2 linked regions of the Arabidopsis thaliana genome follow. The protein of the gene in region 2 purifies or fractionates together with the protein of the main gene of each other region. This does not show direct contact. Each region holds a gene or a part of one and is shown on either strand. Other genes may lie near its edges.

Region 1 (5,335 bases), on a different chromosome or scaffold from region 2:
TCCTTATGGTGGACGAAATCTTACTGAAACTAAAAAGAACACGATTCAGAAGAGTTTCAGGTAACATGTCCTCAGTATCTATATATCTATATGGATCCACTTCTTTATCCCCCAAACTTGATCGGTTTGACGGATCATGTCTTGTATAGTATATCTGCTCCAAAGAGGACTGGCTTATCCGCTAATGCGCCTTCAACTTCAAGAAGCGTTCCTTCTGGTGGACAAAAGCTACCTCCAAGGAGGATCAACGGCCTTCCTGGGACTGCTCCTTCAACTTCAAAAAATGCAGCCACCAGACAAAAACATGTAATGTAACTTATATAGCTTTTTTACAGATCATTTTTTCTTCGAGTGTATCATTTACATGGCTACTTCAAGTTTCAAGAACTCCGAGTTTTGAAACTCTGGCTTGATGATATCCTAGTTTGTAACAATAGATCTTCAAAAGTTTTTACAATGATTTAATAAAGTGCTTTGTTTTCTACTTGTTGCTTTGGCCGAGATATTTCACAACAAACGTCTCTGCAGAAGCATTCGATATAGAAATTAGAGTAATAATCCATAACCATAAATCATTTTATACAATAAACACGTTCTGATAAGAAGACAAACAAGGCGGACAAACACCCTTAGAAGATGGATTGAAGCAAATATAGATCAAGTCTATATTGTGCCTACAAAATGAGAAATCTAAGTTTCGAGTATGATCAAGTATCTTAGCTTTAGGCTAGAGAAACCAATCTCTTTTATTCTTTGCGGTGTGGTTTGATGTATAGTATGGACCCTAAAAGGGCCTACGTCTAAACTGAAGATCCAGCCAAACGTCTTCTTGATGCATTTGAAGTCGCGACTTGACCCAATTTGTCTGACTCTTTCGAGTCATCCGTCACTATTCTCTCTCTCACTGGTGTGTAATGCCTCAGCCACACGCCTGTGTACACCTGCAACATTTAATATTCCAATGAACCATCCAAGTTTCAAATTGATCCAAAGAAAAATCTTTCTCTTATTATTCTTGGAAAGAGATTAACTATACCTGTTGTGGTCTCATGATCTTGGTGTCAGGATCATCCAGTGACTCTTTCCAATGTGACAAGTATCCAGCCATGCGAGGAATCGCGAATAAGACCGTGAAGAACTCCGGTGGAAATCCCATTGCCCTGTTGTAATGGTCCAAGTTTGCAGATTTAGATGAAGTTGAGAGGAAGTTATGGATACTGCACATGCATTCAAACTTTTACCTGTATATTAATCCAGAGTAGAAGTCAACATTTGGATACAGCTTTCTCTTAACAAAGTAATCGTCAGAGAGAGCTGCCTTCTCAAGTGCAACAGCAACCTGCAGACATCAGAATCAAACACATTGGCTTTAAGGAAACATGAAAAATTACACTAAATCGAAAAGGTGGGCATCAAGTTGTAGTATAAGCTTGAACTTCGTGGACATAGCGTACCTCAATTAGAGGATCCTTTCCAACAATGGAAAATACTTCATCAGCCAGGTTCTTGATGACTTTAGCTCGAGGGTCATAGTTTTTGTACACACGGTGTCCAAAACCAGACATCTTCCTCTTCCTAAGATGTCAAAGGGATGAGAATTTTAATGAAAAGACTTGTCACAAACCTCGGAAACGGAAGCATATAGTTTCAAGAATTGATTTTACCTGTTCTTCACACCCTCAATGAACTCTGGAATATTTTCAACAGTCCCAATCTCTGACAACATCTTAAGCACAGCCTAATGGAACCAAAGACATGAATTTCAAAGACCATGGAGCATGAAAATACATCAGAAGATGTAACATATGAAGACATGAGAATAAATAGCATACCTCGTTTGCACCACCATGAAGTGGACCATAAAGCGCTCCCACAGCTCCAGCAACAGCAGTGTAGACATCAACACCGCTACAAGAAGACATTTCCTAATCAATATATCTCCTATCAAGGTCACTAAGATTCCAACCAAAGATAAGTACCTAGAGGCAAGATGCCGAGCAGCAGCGGTGGAGCAGTTCATTTCATGCTCTGCATGCAGTATGAAGAGGATGTCCAACACCCGAGCCAGCCGAGGATTAGGTTTGTAGGATCTATTTCCCCTGTAAGAAGTGTGTTAATGGCACGCTACAAGTTATGTACACAGTAAAAAAATAACTAGGCTTCAAGTTCTCTGAAGCGTCAAGATCTAAAACTAAATCTAAAAGTTGAGTTTCTAACTAATTCAAGAAGAAAGAGATAGCAGAGACATACAGGGAATCAAGCATATAGAGGAAATTATCTGCATAAGGAAGGTTTCCTGAAGGAAGAACAGGAGGCCTTCCTGCCATCCTCAGATAAGCAGCTGCTGCAATTGTTGGTGCCTGCACAAATCGCAAACACGTTTAGTTGCATCAGATCTTCATGAAATTCAGAGTCCAAATATGTTTATGCGTGACACAATATAGGAAGAAGTAAGGTAACCACTGATAACAAAAAAATACCTTTCCAATAATGCGGATAATTTGTTTATCTCTAACTTGTTTTGAATCGTAAATATCCTGGCCCTGCACCCAATAGAGTATCAGTCAACATGTTTATACGGACAATTTCAAAAGAGCTAAAACTAGCGAGTGACAAGGCCTGACATGTTGTTAGAGAAGTAATATAAGGTTAAACCTACCCTAAGAGCAGGATTAGCATCAGGATGAAAGATGGAAAGCGCACTCATTGCACTCACAAGAACTCCCATTGGGTGTGCATCATGAGGCATAGACTGTATAATATCCTGCACAAAAGTTATCAAGTAAGTGGAGTTAGATATGAGAAATATATAGCTTTGAGTACAGCACACAATCCTCAGAACAACATGTATAGAACAGTCTTGACAAATTATTGTTCGACCAGACAAGAAAATAGGCTACTAGTAAAGAACAGGCTAACTCCATTTTACAAATCGAAATTGAAATCCATCAACCAAGGATTAGAGACTCACTAATACACCTTGTGGCACAGCTGAATGCTGAGAAACTGCAAACTCCCAATCAGATAGCTGACTTTCAGAGGGCAGATTCCCATACACTGCCAGAAAATATAGTAAAGGAGAAAACTTTTCATCAATGTCCAATTCGATACACATAACACTTGAAATTGTGTAGTAAGGTTAAAAGGTAAAACACTTACTGAGAAGATAAGCCACCTCCAGAAAAGTACTGTTCTCAGCCATTTCCTCAATTGGGTAGCCACGGTAACGAAGGATCCCTTCATCTCCATCGATGTAAGAAATCGAAGATCGAACAGGAGCCGTGTTCAAGTAACCTGGATCGTATAACTTAAGCCCCTTGTCTTCCTTCCCCGTCACTATCTGCAAGCCAAACAACACGCAACAAAGCAAATTCTCAGCTCAAAATCCCACAGTGATAGGAAAATGGTCATTTAGAAAAAGGGTTAAACCTTTTTGAAATCAACGGCTTTAACGGTACCATCATCTGAGACCGGAACTTTATAATTTTTTCCGGTGCGTTCGTCGACGATCGTCAGTGTTCCCTTCAAAGATCCAAGCGGTGCGACACTCGTATCCGCCGACGTGCACCATCGCTCGATCGCTGGAGAATCCTGTTTTCCTTCCGATAAATGACCTGAGAGAACAGCTAATCGAGCTCGAACTCTCTCTGATATCTCCATTCAACCAAAATCAAAATTCAAAGAAGGAGAGAAGAAGAAGAAAGGGAGCGAAGAAATTATTAGAAACCATTCTTACTCTTCGTTAATATAACACGTGTCTTATCCCCTGCGGTCAGGAGTATTGAACAGTATCCACGTGTATGCGATCTAACGGATATCTTGATATCCAACGGCGTAAGCCTTATTGACCCAACTTGGACTAACGGTGATGATCTTCTCCATCTCTAAGCTGTCAGAATTATGTGGGACCCACTTATCAGTATTATCTAGTTAGTCAATTGCTTTCCTCGATTTGCTAAATATCAATTCGATTGCTACGCAATGCTGAATGGGCCGAATTGTCTTAATATGGGCTTCTGTATATTCATCTTTAGGCCCAACAGTATACCACTTTTTATTTGGGCCTTTTTTGTTGATACGGCTCGCTTTACCATCGGAACCAACCCAACATTCATTTTTCGAACTATGACTGAAATCTTATTAAAAAAATGAATGTAAAGCTAAATATGGATGTTGCGTTCAAAATAAAACTCATGAGTTTATGGATGTTCTTCATAAATTATAGTTATCATTAATCAAAAGATGGAAAATACAAACGGTTATTTACTCTTTAATGTTAGTGTACGAGGCTATTAATCTTATAAGTTGTATTTATGTATTATATTATGGAGAATGAATAGGTCTAATTACGTTTTAAAAAAAAAGCATGGAGGAAATGAGAGTGAAAGGTATAATAAATGACATGTTAAAAGCGACGGGTCGTATATTTTGATTCGTACCTAAAAATAGAATTCTAAGTTTACCCCACGTGAGGCTCTGAATCTGAGAGTGATAGATTTTTCTTTCCCTCCTTCCGTTTTCAACACATGATGACATGAACAAGGAACTGTTCCTTTTTTTTTTCTTTAAACATTATCTGCAACGGTGATCACTCACTCAATGATATCTTTCATTTATAACTTCACACGTCTATAAATTAAATTTGTTCATAGGATCTACAATAACACAATTAACATCACTTGTGTTTTTAAGTTATTCAAGCAGAGGCATAGTAATTGATAAAAATAGACAACAAGAAAGCATTTGAAACAAAATTACTGTTGTAAACAAAGCTTTTTCACGGTAATGGAATTCCGAAATAAAAATATATAAAAAAGAAAGTGACAGAGGAAATGTGTGAGAGAGGCAAAGGAAATGCAATATTTGCAGGAAGAAAAAAAGCATGAGAAAAAAGTAGGTGTGGATTTAGACACATGACTGACAAATTATATTTTTCTAGTTTCTCCTCTATATGGTGGTTTCTGCGTTTATCATGTTTAAATATATTTAAACCTTTCATTAGTCACATCACATCCCAAAAATGTGTACGATAATAAAAAGATTGTTTATATACCAAAATTAATTGGTTTACTCAATCATCTTTTTAATTTTGGTCATTTGATACGATCAATCATAGGGTGTCCTAACGTTAAGTTCGATGACGCTGCTACCTCTTTTGAGCGTACCATTCAGGGTCCTACTCGGCTACTCCTACATAATGAATTTAGCAAATAGCAGTTTAAAAACAAATTACGTTAGTTGATTAAGATAAATAAATTAGCTTAACACAAATTTGAAATGGTTAGTTGAAACTCAATTAACATTAATTTTTCTAGGTCTTCAATTTAGTTGCATG
Region 2 (4,095 bases):
TGGAGCAATGGTAGCTGCTGGTTCGCTTGTGTTAAAGGATGTTCCTTCGCATAGGTATGAAACCACTGACATGCATCTAAATATCAATCTCGTTGAGCTTTTTTGTTTGAACATTGCTCAAATTGACATTTTCTCTCGGGCGTTTCTGAAGCATGGTGGCTGGAAATCCAGCAAAACTCATCGGGTTTGTTGATGAGCAAGATCCATCTATGACAATGGAGCATGGTGAGTCTTGATTGTGAAAATAGTATTCTGATTTTGTTCTCCATTGCTCAGGCTTTCGTAGTGTGCCAATATGCTAGTTGATTGAATATGCAGATGCTACCAGAGAGTTCTTTCAAAATGTAGCTGTTGCTTATAGAGAGACAATACCAAATGGTAACTTACTTTCTTAATTCCTACAGTGAACTGTGTATTTATATATCTGAGTATAGTTTGGGATCTGAATTGAATTTTGCTTTTTTGTTAAAACAGGATCTTCAGTTTCAGGGAGTTGCAGGGAAAGGAGACATTAAAAAGAGAACATGAGATCACCTGCAGCTTCTTTAAGGCGGTTTTCATCATCAATCATAATCACTTCAAACAAATAACAAAGCTCTTTGTTTGTTAACAAACTTGTTTTTCCAATTGATGGAGAAAGATTTTGATACATTGTTAAACATTATTCATTCTGAAAAGAAGAAAAAAAAACAAATCATAAGCTTTAAAGCTTATCATCTTTAAAGCTTATCATCTTTCAACAAACATAACCAAAATGCAAAAACCCTTAAAACTAAGCATGCTTAGCCTGGAAATCTTTCATGAAAGCAACAAGCTTTTCAACACCAGCCAAAGGCATTGCATTGTAAATAGAAGCTCTCATACCTCCCACTGATCTATGTCCTTTGAGCTGCACCATCTTCTCTTTAGCAGCTTCCTTGATAAACTCAGCTTCCAATTCAGACTTCTCCAATGTGAAAGGCACATTCATCAACGACCTCACTGATTTCTCAACAGGACATCTGAAAAAGCCATTGCTTTCTTCAATAGCATTGTAAAGCAAATCAGCTTTCCTCTGGTTCTTCTTCTCCACTTCTTTCAATCCACCTTGCTCCAACAGATCTTCAAACACAAGACCACACATGTAAATCCCAAAGCAAGGAGGCGTGTTGTACAACGAACTATTCTCATCATGAATCTTGTAATCAAGCATCACAGGAGTAATATCTTGAGCATTCCCAATCAAATCTTTACGAATGATCACAATTGTGACACCAGATGGACCAACGTTCTTCTGTGCACCACCGTAAATCACACCAAACTTAGATACATCAACAGGTTTCGAACAGAAGTTAGAAGACATATCAGCAACCAAGAACCCATTTTTAGGAACAGGGTAATCTTTAAACTCAACTCCATGAATAGTCTCATTGGCGCATATATGCAAATACTTAGCGTCCGGAGTTTGCTCCAACTCCTCAAAAGATGGAACCTTTGTGTATTTCTCAGATTTCCCAGACCAAATCACATTAGTCTTGCAATACTTCTTCGCTTCCTTGACAGCTTTATCACCCCACGAACCAGTAACAACGAAATCGACTGTATCATCCGATTTGCAGAGATTGAGAGGTAAAGCAGCGAATTGAGTAGTGGCACCACCTTGTAAGAACAAAACGGAATATTCCTGAGGAATCTCGAGAAGCTGACGAAGATCCGATTCAGCTTTTTGTATAATCGAGAGAAACTCTTTGCCTCTGTGACTCATCTCCATCACACTCATGCCAGATCCACGCCAGTTGTATAGATCCGCCTGAGCTTTTAGGAGAACGTTCTCAGGCAAAGTGGCTGGACCCGCCGCGAAGTTGAAGACACGTTCTTGGGATCCGACGGAGCCGGATCTAACTCCATCTTGAACTTGAGTCGTTGAAGCGACGCATCTAACAGCGACGGGCTTGGTTTTGCTGACGAAGTTGACGGTGTTTGGTTTGCTGAGGTGAAGAAAGGATTGAGATGATGATTTGGGTTTCAAAGCAGGAATCTGAGTGTTGTTGCTTCCGACAAGGAAAGAGTTCGTCGTAGCCGCCATGATTGTTGTGAGATTCTCCGAGTTTATTTTTGTTTGTTGCCCTTTTCGCTTTTACTTAGACAAAAGATCTGAGAAAGAGTTGGTGGGAGATATATAAATGTAGCTTGAAAACGACAGCGTTTGTGTTAGGTGGTACTAGTTTTGTCTGCGGTGTTAGTATAGTTAAGACTCATTTCCAATGTGTTTTATTTAAAGTTGTAGAAGAAAAAGAGTTCAAATCAAAACTCTCATCCTTATATCATACATATTCTATGAATCTGTAACTATTGACAAAAAATATGATTGGTATAAGAGAATTTTATTGCTGAGATATCAATAAAAGAAAGACTTGTTACAGATCAAATCAGAGGAATGTTTTGAACTTATTTCGTTTGTAATTAAAAATTGAGAGGGAAAATGTTAGCAGCGAGCTATACACAAACTACTATTTTCCACTCTTTAGTGAGAATCTGACACAAGAAAGTGTGCAGCTTCATACTTTGTTGCTATGTATCCGAATTTGGAGGAGCTGTATTTTCTATGTACTCCTGTTAGTTTATCAGTCCCAGCTTTCTGATGTAGTCTCACCATTCTTCTACAACATTCTCTGTAAAACAAACCCATATTAGTTACAAAGATGAGTCTTTATAGGTGCTAATGGGTAAAAGAGACTTACAGGAGTTGATTCTCAGAGTAGTGACAATGGAATTCACAAGTGCTGTTCCATTCACTGAAGCCATGGATTGTACATTGAGCTGTGTACACGGCAGTGGCGGCGAGTAACGATGGTGGATACCGAACCATTTCGTAGTCCACAAGAGCAAGCTCAATCAAGAACGACGCCAAGATCTCAAGCTGTTTCAATAACAAGATTAGTTTGTAATTCACAATCCATTTATATTATTGTGTACATTGATAGATTTGTTTCTTTACCTTCTTGTCTGATTGAGCTGCCTTGAGGAACCTCTTCAAGAAAGGGTATTGCGTTGGTAACGACATATTGAATTGCAAAGTACTAAGCATAATCTTCTCCTGCACACAAAGATTATATTATTGAAATCAGATCAAATGTATAATCTTTTTACCGAGTTTTTGGAAAGAAACAATCTTATTTTACCATTTCTAAAACATCGGTCCTCGTATAAGCTTTGTCCGAAATGACTACCAAATCTTCAACAATAGGTACTGAAACCTCTTCGTACTTGCAAGCTAAGAGCAATGCAACTAAACCAACAAGCTGAAGCTTCTTTCTTGCAACAGCTTGCTTGGACAAGAATCTATCTATCAGATTGACTGTTAGAAACAATGTCTCGTTCATCAGCTCAAACTTATCATGTACCTGAAACATCCAAGAAGCTTCTTAATTAGCCTCTATATATACAATAATCCATTACCATTGAGAGGTGCTTGAATATACCTCGATGAGCCAGTCAATAAGTATTGCTCTCATTTTGTCAGATATATCAAACTGTTGCGCCATGTAATCTAGAGGAACACAGCTAAATCTCTGCAGATTACCAAAATCCATGGAAAATTGTCTCAGTCCGAATTCAAAATCTTATGGTTTTGGTTCAGAGACATATTAAGAAACCGTACCTCGGTTTTACGGTAGAAATCGTAAAGATCTTGGACGTATTCAACAGCTGCAAGAGAGTTGTTTGCATCGTATTCGTCTATATCCAAAACTGGTTCTTCTTGTTCTTCTTCCATATCCTCCATCTCAACTTCTTCCTCCTGTCCAAATCAAAAAACTTTCTTTAGAATTCACATTAAAAGAAAAAAGCTAAAGATCTTTTGAAAAGTGATTGTTAATTACCATTGGATCAAATTCAATGTATGGTTCCTCCAATGACATTGGCATAGGTTGGTCCAATGTAACTTCTTCATTCTTCTCCTCTTCTTCATCAATGAATATGCAATCACCAAACTCGTTTCCACTTGGTTTCAGCTTCTTAGTCTCTTCCTGAGATCTGCAGAAATTCAAATAACATCAGATCTCTCTTTCTCAGCAAAAGAAACGTTTTTGAAAGCTTTAAACTTTATTAACCTTG

Evidence for each region. The genes of interacting proteins can lie anywhere in the genome.
Region 1: the proteins of PSAT (region 2) and CSY3 fractionate together in Arabidopsis thaliana (co-fractionation; one large-scale study listed by BioGRID). This does not show direct contact.

What each region holds. Positions count from the first base shown.
Region 1 is NC_003071.7:17,802,332-17,807,666, forward strand, and holds CSY3 (citrate synthase 3), read right to left. Parts: upstream 3,743-5,335; 5' UTR 3,661-3,742; coding exon 3,430-3,660; intron 3,341-3,429; coding exon 3,160-3,340; intron 3,058-3,159; coding exon 2,972-3,057; intron 2,765-2,971; coding exon 2,660-2,764; intron 2,544-2,659; coding exon 2,481-2,543; intron 2,361-2,480; coding exon 2,251-2,360; exon of another isoform or gene 2,100-2,250; coding exon 1,980-2,099; intron 1,909-1,979; coding exon 1,833-1,908; intron 1,739-1,832; coding exon 1,665-1,738; intron 1,576-1,664; coding exon 1,455-1,575; intron 1,340-1,454; coding exon 1,242-1,339; intron 1,161-1,241; coding exon 1,037-1,160; intron 942-1,036; coding exon 801-941; 3' UTR 510-800; downstream 1-509. Other genes in the region: AT2G42780 (transcription elongation factor B polypeptide), read left to right, coding at 1-60, 150-315. UniProt on the Arabidopsis thaliana protein: Peroxisomal citrate synthase required for the fatty acid respiration in seedlings, citrate being exported from peroxisomes into mitochondria during respiration of triacylglycerol (TAG).
Region 2 is NC_003075.7:16,902,175-16,906,269, reverse strand, and holds PSAT (phosphoserine aminotransferase), read right to left. Parts: upstream 2,212-4,095; 5' UTR 2,066-2,211; coding exon 773-2,065; 3' UTR 548-772; downstream 1-547. Other genes in the region: SERAT3;2 (serine acetyltransferase 3;2), read left to right, coding at 1-54, 152-225, 319-378, 475-515; CYCB2;2 (Cyclin B2;2), read right to left, coding at 2,504-2,651, 2,721-2,899, 2,978-3,076, 3,162-3,383, 3,462-3,551, 3,641-3,778, 3,861-4,014, 4,092-4,095. UniProt on the Arabidopsis thaliana protein: Involved in the plastidial phosphorylated pathway of serine biosynthesis (PPSB). Catalyzes the reversible conversion of 3-phosphohydroxypyruvate to phosphoserine.